Linked DNA regions of Nothobranchius furzeri. The protein of the gene in region 2 interacts with the protein of the main gene of each other region in a biochemical or structural test. Links are inferred from orthologs where the notes say so. Each region holds a gene or a part of one and is shown on either strand. Other genes may lie near its edges.

Region 1 (4,165 bases), on a different chromosome or scaffold from region 2:
CTGACACTCCGGGCAGGATCCTGGCTTCACCTCCTGGTTCTGGGACTGGAAGAAGGGTCCGAGCACGAAGCTGCACTTGTTACAGTTGTATTTAACCATGCTGAGCTGAGGCAGGACTCCGGTACAGCTGCTCACCACGCCGCTGGTCCGGATCAACTGGTTCAGGTGGAGCTGCCTGAGGACCAGAGCAGAAGAACGTTTGTGAACAACACAGGACTTTAACAGCATCGCGGAGATGTTTAAGAGCCTGGAAGCTGCGCTACCTGAGCGATCGAATCTCCTCGACCAGCGGCAGGTTACAGATCCGGACGTGGATCTCGTGAGCGATGCGGTCGTATTTTGGATACATGGTGAGAACTACTTCTTTGGCTGCTTCATCAAAAATCTGACAAGAGAAATGTTTGGGTTCATTAGAAAAAGTCCTAATTATATTTTGACTTCCACGATGATAAAAACTCACCTTCAGCATCTCCGTTGGAGCTTCTGGGAGGAAATAGGCCAGAACGTGCTCCCTGGCAGCGAGGTCTTCGTAGTTCACCACCAGACTCTCCTTATTCTCTGAGACATCGGGACAAAAAGCAGGATTAAGGTTTTTCAACTCCTCTCCACCACCGTTCCTCCGTAGCAGAGATCTCAGCTACCTTTGCACATGTCGCTGATCTTCTCCTTAAACACGTTGTGGCCATTCTCGTCCACGTGGGTCCGAAGGAAGTTCTTGAAGCGGTTGTAGATCTCGAGCCGCGGAGCTGCCATAGACACCCACTCCCTCACCGTGTGTCCCTGAAGGACGGGAGGGGATTAAAAACCCAATGTGACGGTAGAGAGGCCTGAAAGAGCTCCACAAACCTTCATGTCTTCCAGGTTCTCGATGCTCTCGATCATCTCCTCCTCATCTCCATCTGCGATGCCCTCAGCGGCGCGCTCAGCCAGACGTCTTCGCCGGGCGGCAGGACGCTCATCGTCCTCGTCTTCGCTGTCTGAAAACAGCAACAAGGCAACACTTTCAGTGTTTTCATTCAATTGGATTAAAGCCGTTCTCCAGAAATGGGTCCGCTCATCTCCATCCTCACCATAAAGGAGTCCTCTCCTCAGACGTCCACTGAGGCCCTGCTCCCGGTCCCTCCTCCTCATCGCCTCCTCGGCAGCGGCTCGAGCTCCCGGCGACAGCTCCGACAGATCCTCGTCATCCAGATCCAAGCCCTCCATCTCGTATTGGTCCAGTGCCGGAATGGGGCGGTAATCTCTGGAAGAGTAGATCCACTTATCATTATGAAGCTTCCAAACAAGCTTCTGATCTCACAAACTGGTGTTCACCTCTCCATCCCATCTCCAATCAGATCCTCCCCGTCTGCCTCCTCCTCCTCCTCCAGACCCCCAGGCAGGGGTCCGTCCCCAAGCAGCCCCTCGGACTCATCCTCAAATGGGGGCAGGTCCCGTCCTGGGCTGGAGGTCAGGTCTCCTCTCCTGGAGGGTCGGTTGGGGCTGGTGATCACGTGGAACGACTCAGAGGAATCCTGTCAACAACAACAGTTACATCTCCAAACGGGCTGATCGGTAACCCTTGCAGGCAATTGGAGGGTGCAATCGTAATGTTAAACAAAATAAACTAAAGTGCAGAAATTTTGTTTTAACCCCCCCCCCCCCCATGTCTTAATTAGATAAAAAGAAAAAACTAAATGACCAGAACATCAAACAGCTCAAGAGCTTTTCAGTGGAGCATTTTAACGTTTACTGTATAAAACCAAACTAAGTTTAGTTTGAGTTATTGTTAGTTGTCTTAATTTGTTTTATTTTGAAAGATTACAATAACGGGTTTCTGGGTATAGAAGAACCTCTTGGTGCAATTTTAAATAATCCGAAATAACAAGGGAAATGTTTTCCCTGATGAATAATCTGCGTACAGCAGACAAGAAACAGCTCAGAGTAAAGAAGAAGAAGAAAGTATCATTTCTATAGCGCCTCTGAAGATAAAAAATGTAAAAATATAAAAAAGCATTTAGAAAATGTTTAACAATATATTTAAAATGAGCATAAATAGACAATTGTGATTAAAAAAATGTTAAGAAAGAGAGGGAGTGAATAGGAAAGAGGGAAATCAGTGGATCCTGAGGAAGGTGGAATAGGTGGGGAGAGCAGAATAAAGAGAGTGGTGAAGAAGGTCATACAAAAGCCAGCATGAACAAGTGAGTCTTCAGCTATTTTTAAAGGAGACCACTTTATTAAACAGTTGTTAAATAAAGAAAAGGCCACATGAGGACACGATCAGTCACTTCTGTGTTGTTGTAACTAAAGGAGATTTTCGGCTGATTTACGTGAGATAATCTGGACTTTCTATACGTTTAAATCTCAAAAACTCGACTTGAATGCATAAAAATCAGACAAACTGAAGCTGCCACATGGCAGCTCTCCGTTACAAACACCATAATTATTGTTTCTAATAACGTAAAACTAAATAAAACACTCGTCAGCATCGTTGTCGGTCACGATTCTGCATTAAAACATCTAAAACTAATCCTGATTTCCAAAAGAAAAGTTCGGATTCTTAAACAGTGAAAGTCTTTGTGTGCTTGTTTCCACAAACGAGATAAGTCAGCAAAAACTACAGCGATAAACTGGAGTTAATAAACGGCATCTTCTTTCGTTTAAGCAATAAAACCTAATTAAAGCCCGTTTTTGTTGTTTTTCACGGCTTTACTGTAACTCACCGCCATTGCTGAACTGAGCTGCTGCTGCTTCAGTGGACGACGCTGCTTCTTCTTCCTGCCCGGTTGTCCCTTTTCGCGCGAAATCGACCACGTGGAGCTCAAAGCCCGCGAATGAATATGAATATTCAAAGAGAATGCCGATGCTGGTCTTTCTCATTGGCTGACCAGATTTCAAGGGGCGGGTCTTCCTTTACGATTTGTTCGGTTTTGTCGCTGACTAGCAGCTGAATCTGCGGTGTCTCGGATGGTCTCGGTAGATACCACCCTTCAGCGGCCTGAGCCGCAGAGATAAACAAACAAACCCTCCTTGTGTGGTGTTCGTGACGTAGATAGTATGCGTTCAATTTCTTCAAGAGTTTCGGAAATTGGGTGGATTATTTTACAAATAACTGCTTAGTTCAGACAGACAGACAGACAGATAGACAGACAGACAGACAGACAGATGATAGATAGATAGATAGATAGATAGATAGATAGATAGATAGATAGATAGATAGATAGATAGATAGATAGATAGATAGATAGATAGATAGATAGATAGATAGATGATAGATAGATAGATAGATAGATAGATAGATAGATGATAGATAGATAGATAGATAGATAGATAGATAGATAGATAGATAGATAGATAGATAGATAGATAGATAGATAGATAGATAGATAGATAGATAGCATGTTTAATAATAATAATAATAATAATAATAATAATAAGACCACGGCTAAACTTATGAATTAATATCACTACGTTCATCACAAGAGAAATAACACTATTAGTGTTATTCATAATAATACAAAACCATCCATTGGTTATTGTTTCATTTGATTCACTTGGCATGCAGGTCATACAAAGACGAGGACCTTTTTAGAGCCATGACTAATATAATTAATGAGTTGAAACTGTTAGTTGAGTTCTGTGATATTTGGCTCTTTGAAAGGATCTCACTGAATCTGTTGTAGAACCACAACCAGGACTATTCTGTGATTTGGGCGAAGTCCTGAGATGTTTCTTATGAGTCACTGAAATGCTGCAGGACAGGAGGAGGAGGATGGATTTCTGAGCCTCCTATTGGCTGAGAAGCTTTGCAGGTAGGCTCTGATTGGCTGGGATGATGTGAGCAGAAATACTTGAGTCTTTGTTGAAAACAAGCTCCACTCAGTCTTGCAGCTGAGCAAAACCAGGTCAACAATTCGAGAACAGAGCATCAGCTGTTGCAGGACCTCAACGCTGCACCATTAATGTTTGTGTAAAAAAAAAAGCAGTCATCAATAAAGCAGGGAGAAACTCTGATTCTGTTCCACTCTGCTGCATGTTGGGGCAAAATCAGACTGCGGTCAAGTGAGCCGCACCTACAATTGAAGTGCGCGTTTACACGATAGTTTACGGCAACACCCGTCTCGCTGCTGGAGAGGAGCTGAGATGAGCGACATAATGGGCTATCAGGATGACACAGACCTGC
Region 2 (4,181 bases):
GAAAACAGATGGATGGATTTTTTTTCCATGTTTGGAGAGTTTACAGAGCCAGTCGAGACCCACATGGTAGCACAAAAGTTCGATTTTGCATAATATGTCGCCTTTAAGTTATTAATTCAAATTATGAAAGTATAGAGCATTGATCGGGATGATTAGTCTGTTACACTAAAACCCCCTGAAAGACAGCGGGTGCCTGGACCGTGTGGGATCTCACCTCCAGCTAGCATGGCCGTCAGGACGATGCCACAAGCCCAGATGTCTGCAGGCTGAGCACTATACTCTGATTGGCTGAGAAGTTCTGGAGCAACGTAGGGAAGAGTCCCACAGAGTCGGTTCAGCTGGCGCTCACGTCCTTTGAACCGAAACATGGTGGCTAGGCCAAAATCAGTCAGCTTTAAGTTGTCTAAAGGTTAGAAGATAAAAAAAAATGATGCATGGTTATGAGAAATCATTAAAAAAAAACTGTGGCACTCTATTTGCCCACCTTTGTCATCCAGCAAAATGTTTTCGGGCTTTATGTCTCTGTGGGTGATGCCAAGGCTGTGGAGGTACTCCTGAGAAGAAGCAAATAAAAGAATAAAAAAAGAGCCCGAATCAGGCAAACAACACAAACATTCACCCACCACAGCTGACATTAGCTGCTGGAAAAACCTGTGAGCATCCCTCTCTGGCATTCCCACATCAGGCTCTAAAACACCAGAAAGACAAGAACTCGAGTTAGGCAGGAACTAGTTAAGATAATAAACTGATCTGCACTTCACAGACACCAACAGTCTGCTGCAAAAATACAGTTTTATCAGAGAGCCCGCAGTGTTTTACCGATCCGGTCAAACAGCTCTCCTCCGGTGCAGTACTCCAGAAACAGATAAACAGTCGCTCCTTCTTTCCGATGCCCAAAAAACTTCACAATGTTGGGATGGTTGAGCATCTGACAAAGAACAAGGTTGTATTTTTAATCACTGATTAGGGCTGCACGATATTAGGAAAACATGCAATGTCCGATAGTGATTAATATTGCGATGATGATATTACTTGCAATAAATAATAACTTAACTCAGGAACTAAAATAATAAAAAAAAATATATATATAAATAAATTTTAAAAATGACAAAAAATTTCTTCAAAATGACAAAAGCAAAAGATGTGAAGAAAAGACAATCAGTGGAACCCGGGAAAAGCAGAATCAGCAAAAAGAGCAGAAAAAAGCTAACTTAAGGTGTTTGCTAACCATCAAAATTAAGTGCCGTCCGCCTCGGGGGCGGGCATCTAACCTATGAGAACCCATCCAATTGGCCAAATGGGTGAAAAGCTGTTTTATTTGTTAAAAAAACATCACACTTCCGTTTGATTGACAGAACGCATTATGTGTAGCAAACATTTGACCCGGACCCGAATAAGCGGAGGAAGATGAAGACGAAACATTTGAGCTGACCATTCATTGCAATATTTATCTGTTCTTTGCGATATGCATATTGCACATGCTGATATCGCGATAACGATATATTTACGATATATTGTGCGGCCCTATCACTGATTTCAAACGTTGAACCAGCACACTTTGTTTATTTCTAAAATCAGAACAGAAGTGTTTGACTTAAAAATCCTCAGAAGAAGGTAAATGTGTTTTCTGCAGCTCAGTAAGACAGGTACCTTATGGACGCAGACCTCCTTTTTCACGTTGTCTGCACACTCTTTAGACTGAGAGGTATCGACGACTTTCACTGCCACTGCCTCTTCAGTGTGTCTGTTCACCAGCAGCCTCACTCTGAAAGAGCATGGTTCAGAACAAAAAGAGAAATAAATCAGAATTTCTATAAGAAAGAAAATAGAACAGACTTTTGGAGTAAAACAAAAACTAGAAACGCACCGGAACCGGACAAATGTCAGCCTGATTAGCTAAACTGGTGATTGACCAACCCAAAACTCTACTTTTCGGATGAGTGAACGCAATAGAAATGACTGGTCCATGAACTCACCATCAGCCCTTTTCTTTAAGATCAGTAAATGCCGCAGATATCGGCCTACAAAATCACAACCGGTGCACATCTGATAAAGGTGATGTTTTTTTTTTTTCCTATTTTTACTTCACCCTGTGTCTTAATGATTTTTAGCTGTTATTTTTGGGAATTTTGTTGTATTTCCTTTTTATCTTTTATCTGTGTTCGACATGTTTATATAACGCCTGTTTAATTAACCAACATTTTTAGTGTACAGCGCCTTGTTTGGTTGTAATGCCTTGTGAATGCGCTTTATAAATAAAATTGGATTGGATGGTGTGAATTACAACGTGCATTTAACCAGAACTTAATTATTAAACAAAAGTAGCTTGAGTAAAGAAAAACGCAGCTCGACTTTAACCTGCATTAAGGTTTGGTGCAGCATTTAGCCCAGCAGCTACTGAACTATATATATGATGTTCTTACTCTCCATATGCTCCTTCTCCCAGAGTCTGAACGAGGTCCCAGTCCTGGACAAAAGGCACCGCCATGATGCTTCAGTAAACACAAAACACACAACACGTATGTAACGTGTATAAAAAAAACTCATCATTAAAGACAAACAGCGCCAAACTTTAACGTTTGCAGGATGTGAAGCAGCGCTAATGTCACGATGCCTCCATATCTGTTCAGCGATGATTCATGTGACTGTCTTACCTCCACCGCCTTTTCCCTGAGCTGCGTTTCCCACATGTGACGAGTCACAAAACACATTTATTCTAACTCCGCCATGGATGTGCATCTGTGATAAAGGGGCACAAATTTGGCGCCTTGTTGTTTTACCGGAGACATTGCGTCATTTCCTCTTTTTCTTCTACGCTTTTGCAGGAAACCTACAGCAAGCGCACACTTCCGCCCCCCTCTGGTGAAATAGTACACAGCACCCAATCATCCACCTGGTTCTCCCTGAGCTGTTCAAAGATTAATGAATGAAAGCCGCTGCTGCCTGCACACAAAGGACTGTAGGTCAAAGCATACTCAGCACAGGACATGCAGATATACATTTTACAGACCACACTTGCATTGTAGGACGTTTTTATCTGCCATGTAGAATAAAATATGCCGCTATAATACCCATTCTGTTGTGCACATTGTCCATGAATTGTCGTATGAATTTCAAAAGTGTGATATGGCGCAACTTTGCACCATTTGTTTATTTATTGTTTGTGACATCACAAACAGGGACTTTTTGAAACAGCTTGTTTTAGGAACATAATTCCTAAAACCAAACACTGACAGTAAATGGATGGAGTGTGATTTTCCAACCTTCTGTTTGAGAAACTGAACAGAAAAATTCTTTGCTAAATCCTGGAGGAATAGAGATCTAGACCGATCCTTTGTGAGTGGATAATTTTTTTGGGAAAAGGGCTCAAAAATGTGTTCAGTCCATGAAATGAAATGTGTTGTTTTTGACAGCTATTATCTAAAAATCTAAGTGTGTAAAATATGTATCAGACGGATGAGCTGTTACCAGGCGTGTCCAGTAGAGAGAGTGAGAGAAAGCATCTCAGAGTTGGAAACCTCAACATCATACATCTGTGTTAAATGTAGATCAGCCACAAGAGACACAAAGATGATATGATGCGCGGTTGAAAACATCCAAGCACCAAACTGAGACAATATCAGTAAAGGATATACTTTTTCTTTCAGTGACTAACCTCTTATTATACATATGAGATTAATCTTCCAGGTGATCAAGAAGAAAATTTACGTAATTACCTGCTTAGCTCATGTAGAATGAGAAGAAAAACAATCGAGATTCCAGTTTGGTTCTTTCTAGTGTTTCATCAATAAATAACTCAACATGTCAACAAAGCTCAAGTGTTTGAGGGTGTGTTAGTGACATTGAGAGGTGGAATGTTATGAAGTGGTTACTTTTAATAAAATTTCAACTAAATATAAAAGTATTCAATAAAAATATGGATTAGCAATGTTATTGAACCTTTAATATTTGATTGATGATGAAACTAGGTACTTTGGATATGCCAGGGAACCAAAACCTTATAATAATTTGACACAGAGGCAAAAATGTAGTTTATAAAAATCTATTTATTACTATATTTCTAATACTAGGATGACGCAGGAGAAATGATTATAAATGGTGATATAACCCTTCCACTGTCTTTACGGGTGACCCCGCGAGGGAAGTTGACTATTGAGCAGGGTTGATGGTTTATCCCTTGA
Region 3 (4,144 bases), on a different chromosome or scaffold from region 2:
CACACTGGAAACCCCAAGCAGTGAGGTGGTAGAAGGAATAATAAATAAATAAAACTTAAAAAATTTAACAATAATGAACAGATTCATACTTCTGCTTGATTTTCTGTCCCAATGGTGGCTGCCAAGGTTCTGCAGACATCTGTGACCCTCTGCTTCCTCAGCAGCACAGCACTCTCATGAATCTCAGCCACAGACAGTAAAAAACGGAACAGCAGGCAAACAGATTCAGTAACTTCTGACCCCAGTTTAACTCCTGCCCCTCCAAGAGCACAGACACACTCAAACATCTGTGAGAGGTAGATGGACTCAAAGTCAGAGGGAGAAATGTGGGACGACTGAAACAAACAGCGGGTTAAGTTGATCAGCTCTCCTCCATAGGGTTGGCTCTCGTTTGAGTGTTTTGCTGCGGATGTGTCGGAGTGCGTTTCCAGCAAATGAAAAAAGGCCGTGAAAAATTTGTGACACTGCATCTCGGGAAACCTCTGCAGCTCTACCAGTTTCCTCAGCAACACCATGGAGACCTTCCTCAGCCTGGTGTTGCCGTTAGCCAAGATGGAGCATGCCGTGTCCCAAGACAAACTCAGGTCCCGACAGGAAATGATTCCTCTCAGAGAGTCACTTGTGATACTGAGAGTCACAGCAGTCAGCGACTCCAAGGCAGCAGGAGAGGAGAGTAGAAGGAGAGTAGGGGTGAGGTAGACGGAGGCACGAATGGAACTGATGCTGAAGCATTGAAGCTTCACAGGCCATCTGTCCTGGATGTGTGCACCCACACTGTGTCCAGGTCCTGCCAGTGTCACTATGTGAGTGTGCAGGATGCTGCTAAGCTCCTGGGTCAATGATATGACTTCTTCGGTGAGGCAGCTGAAGATGAACGGCATCCTGACTCTTAGAGTGTGTAGTAAAGAGCACAATACGGCAGAGACGCGCCCGTGAATGACATCACAGCCTGGAGCTGCTGCCACACGAAGCAAATGCAGCATCACCCATTTACTGAAATCTGAAATCAAGGCAGAATATGAAGAAAAAGACAATGTTATGTTTTTGGCTTCTTCATAATGTGTGAAACTTTTCAACAATGTGTCGTTTAGTACCAGTGCAGCTCTGTACGGTGTCTGGGTAATCAGCAGGTTGGCAGGCAGGATTTGCAAACATCAGGGACGAGGATTTGACGATGTGCTGCACAAAGTCAAGCAGCATCACACATGCTGGCTCTGAACTGGACTTTTTATTTAGTCCTAAAGCAACTTAAAAAAAGAGAAGAGGGCTGTGTTTAACAAGTCTGGAAATCAGAAACATCTCTGAGTGATATTAGAAAAAAATTACAAAAGGATTTTAGAAAATAAACACACACATCTAAAAAAACAAAATGACAATCAGATGTTACTCTCTTAACATAGGTACATAACTGACATGATGTGGGTTTATTTTTACTTCTGAAGATTTTTGACTGATAGTTTTGCAGGTTGTGTTCCAAGATGTAAAAAACAAAAATGACCAGAATATACAGACAAATATGGTTTTCAACCCTTACAACCAGTACTTGACTAAAGAGCAAGTAACCCCCTACCAGAGTCTAACTCCTCTCCCATTTCCTGTTTGAAAAGTGCACCACAAGGACAGGCCTGGCAGACCGAAAGGGCAGAGCCTCTAACACACACACACACACACACACACACACACACACACACACACACACACACACACACACACACACACAGCAGCGTTGTGATATCATAATATACCAGCTAATGTCATAGGGTACCTCTTAACCAATAGCAACGGCAGATGTAAATTCAAATGCAGTGCAGTTTTTACCTGAAGAGGAAGCAACACGGAGTTTTAGGCAGAATATTACAACTTTAATTAAGATGGACTAAGGTGCCAAATTATCCACTGATTCCCCTCTTTCCTATTCATTTTCTCTTTCCCTTTCCTTGCACTTTTAATCACAATTCTAAACTTTTTTCTTCTTCTAATTTTAACCATATTTTCACGATTTTTGGCATTCTGAATTTTTTTGTTCTTGTGAAAGGCCTCAAGATTTTTATCTTGAGAGGCGCTAAGTAAAAGATAATTTTCTTTTTTTCTTTCTTTTCTTACTTGCTTTTTAAATGAATGAATAAATGACCACTATAAAGTTAACAGTTTGTAAAACATTTGGTTTATGTATGCGATGCATTTTTTATTTACTTGTTTCCATTAGGTTTATCAAAAATTGTTTAATACCTGTTCAGGTACAAGGGTCACTCCCCACCTAAGAGCACGTGCTAAAATTATTATTAAAACTAATAACCTTATAAGATCTAAAGGAAAAATAAAGGAAAACGAGCTTTTATTTGGCGCTGAATGGTCTCTGTTGGTTCGGTTTTTGTCCCCCGTTAGTAATGACTTACCGACGTCCACGTCAGTCAGTATCCTGTCAATAAACTGGCAGAGGATCTGTCGAGGTTTCTGCACGGCTGTTTCGTACTCAGCAGCGCTGGCACTGCAAACAGATAAACGATGTAACTTATAAAAAGAGTGATAGTTAAAGAAATAAAGTGAAGCCTCAGTAACAAACAAACGATTAGCCACTTAGCTTTTGGCTAACACTACTCACCTAGCTAGCTCTTGAAGAGCAGGAATCATCGCAGACATTTCAAGCCCGTCCATTTTTCCTCGTCTGCTTATAGTGTCGTCGTTCAAAGCTTCTTTAAGGTACTACTAGTGAGATATAACAGGTTATTTTAGCCAGAGTGCAAGTCAAATAGCTGCCCATCGTGCCAAACGCTTTCGAAAAGTTTCGCTCCAAACTGACGTAGTTTGTTTTCATACGGCACGCACGAAGGCCCAAAATACCAAACAAAAACTCAAAGCCTTCCGAAATTCTCCTGATAAAAAGATTAAAAAGCATGATAGATTGAATAAACCAACGTGTGTTCACATGTCCGGTTCATTTGAGCTAGGCTCTGAAAGAACAGGTGGTATTACAACTCTGCAAATATAATTTTTATGTTTAGTAATCTTTATTTTAAAGTAAAAAAATATCCTGAAAACAAAACAGTGAATTAATGAAAGGAATAAGTTCTGGGATGAAAATTATGTATGCCGTGCACTGTTTTGACATCATGGTTTATTATTGTCTGCAGTGCAGGTTCACTCAAGGTTGTTTTTATAGTTGCAGGCATTCTGCCATTGTGCTGCGTCTGTTAAAAGAGGAAGATATAGGGAGGTGGGCAGAATTATGAAAAGTTCTTGTACTTTGCTTTTGTCATCATGTGCCTGTGTCTTGTTGGACTGTAATCCTTGGTTCTGGGCTCATTCTGTGATCTTCATAGAGCGAGACCCAAACACTATTTATGCCTTTGGTAATAAATAATATGAAAACACATAAGTTCTATCTCTTTATTGTGTAATTCACAAGTTCGGTGAAACATTTCCACCACAGTTCTCAAAACATATATAGATGTTATATATAAAACTAATTAAAGAAATTCCTGTTTGAACGTTTGAGTGCTTGTTTGTCTAAATAAGCAGAAGCTACGAATGATCTGAGACAAGAAATTTACTGAAAAGAAATCATTGACAGACAGAAAACACACCAAAGCAGCCGGAATCTCGCAATAAAAAAAGAATTCACATATTTTTTAATTTCTGTTTTATTAGGCAATATAAACGTGTCAGAGGCAGATATTTTCTCACTAAGTATTGCATTACTTTTTATTAACATTAATATGAAGCCGTTGTTAATGCTTTATTTAATAGCTTATTAATAATACTAATAATGCACATTACGTTAATAAAGGACCCTTATTGTAAAGTGTTACCCGATAAATGTACAATGTATAGTTTAACTGTTGTTTTTAGGGTTATAAATAATTCTAAAGCATTTGTAAATGCTTAAATATTGATTATTTGTAATAAATTATATATATAGTACCTAATACCTTGTAAATGGTCATTTAATAACTTACTAAACACTTATAAACTTATTTGTAAACATAATCACAATCCTTTATAAATTTCTTCGATATGAGTAACTTGAACAGTATCCTTAACTTATTCACAAGACACCAAGAGCCCTCTGAGGACACAAGACTTTTGATCTAATCCTTTTAATAAAGTTTGCTTTTTTGGCTCATAAAATCTTTACTTGACAGGT

What was found. The genes of interacting proteins can lie anywhere in the genome.
Region 1: the proteins of chek1 (region 2) and mcm2 form a complex in vitro, tested with the Homo sapiens proteins (2 studies listed by BioGRID, with this or other methods). The link is inferred for Nothobranchius furzeri from reciprocal best matches to the Homo sapiens genes CHEK1 and MCM2.
Region 3: of the proteins of chek1 (region 2) and atr, one has a biochemical effect on the other in vitro, tested with the Homo sapiens proteins (7 studies listed by BioGRID, with this or other methods). The link is inferred for Nothobranchius furzeri from reciprocal best matches to the Homo sapiens genes CHEK1 and ATR.

What each region holds. Positions count from the first base shown.
Region 1 is NC_091743.1:72,011,673-72,015,837, reverse strand, and holds the start of mcm2 (DNA replication licensing factor MCM2), read right to left. Parts: upstream 2,808-4,165; 5' UTR 2,712-2,807; coding exon 2,706-2,711; intron 1,515-2,705; coding exon 1,315-1,514; intron 1,244-1,314; coding exon 1,071-1,243; intron 978-1,070; coding exon 847-977; intron 781-846; coding exon 642-780; intron 559-641; coding exon 461-558; intron 386-460; coding exon 264-385; intron 176-263; coding exon 1-175. UniProt on the Homo sapiens protein: Acts as a component of the MCM2-7 complex (MCM complex) which is the replicative helicase essential for 'once per cell cycle' DNA replication initiation and elongation in eukaryotic cells.
Region 2 is NC_091750.1:44,931,973-44,936,153, forward strand, and holds the start of chek1 (serine/threonine-protein kinase Chk1), read right to left. Parts: upstream 2,809-4,181; 5' UTR 2,712-2,808; coding exon 2,655-2,711; intron 2,493-2,654; exon of another isoform or gene 2,489-2,492; coding exon of another isoform or gene 2,468-2,488; coding exon 2,424-2,467; intron 1,766-2,423; coding exon 1,651-1,765; intron 929-1,650; coding exon 820-928; intron 689-819; coding exon 624-688; intron 555-623; coding exon 485-554; intron 404-484; coding exon 215-403; intron 1-214. UniProt on the Homo sapiens protein: Serine/threonine-protein kinase which is required for checkpoint-mediated cell cycle arrest and activation of DNA repair in response to the presence of DNA damage or unreplicated DNA.
Region 3 is NC_091758.1:22,151,827-22,155,970, reverse strand, and holds the start of atr (serine/threonine-protein kinase ATR), read right to left. Parts: upstream 2,808-4,144; 5' UTR 2,656-2,807; coding exon 2,603-2,655; intron 2,489-2,602; coding exon 2,397-2,488; intron 1,248-2,396; coding exon 1,095-1,247; intron 1,001-1,094; coding exon 90-1,000; intron 5-89; coding exon 1-4. UniProt on the Homo sapiens protein: Serine/threonine protein kinase which activates checkpoint signaling upon genotoxic stresses such as ionizing radiation (IR), ultraviolet light (UV), or DNA replication stalling, thereby acting as a DNA damage sensor.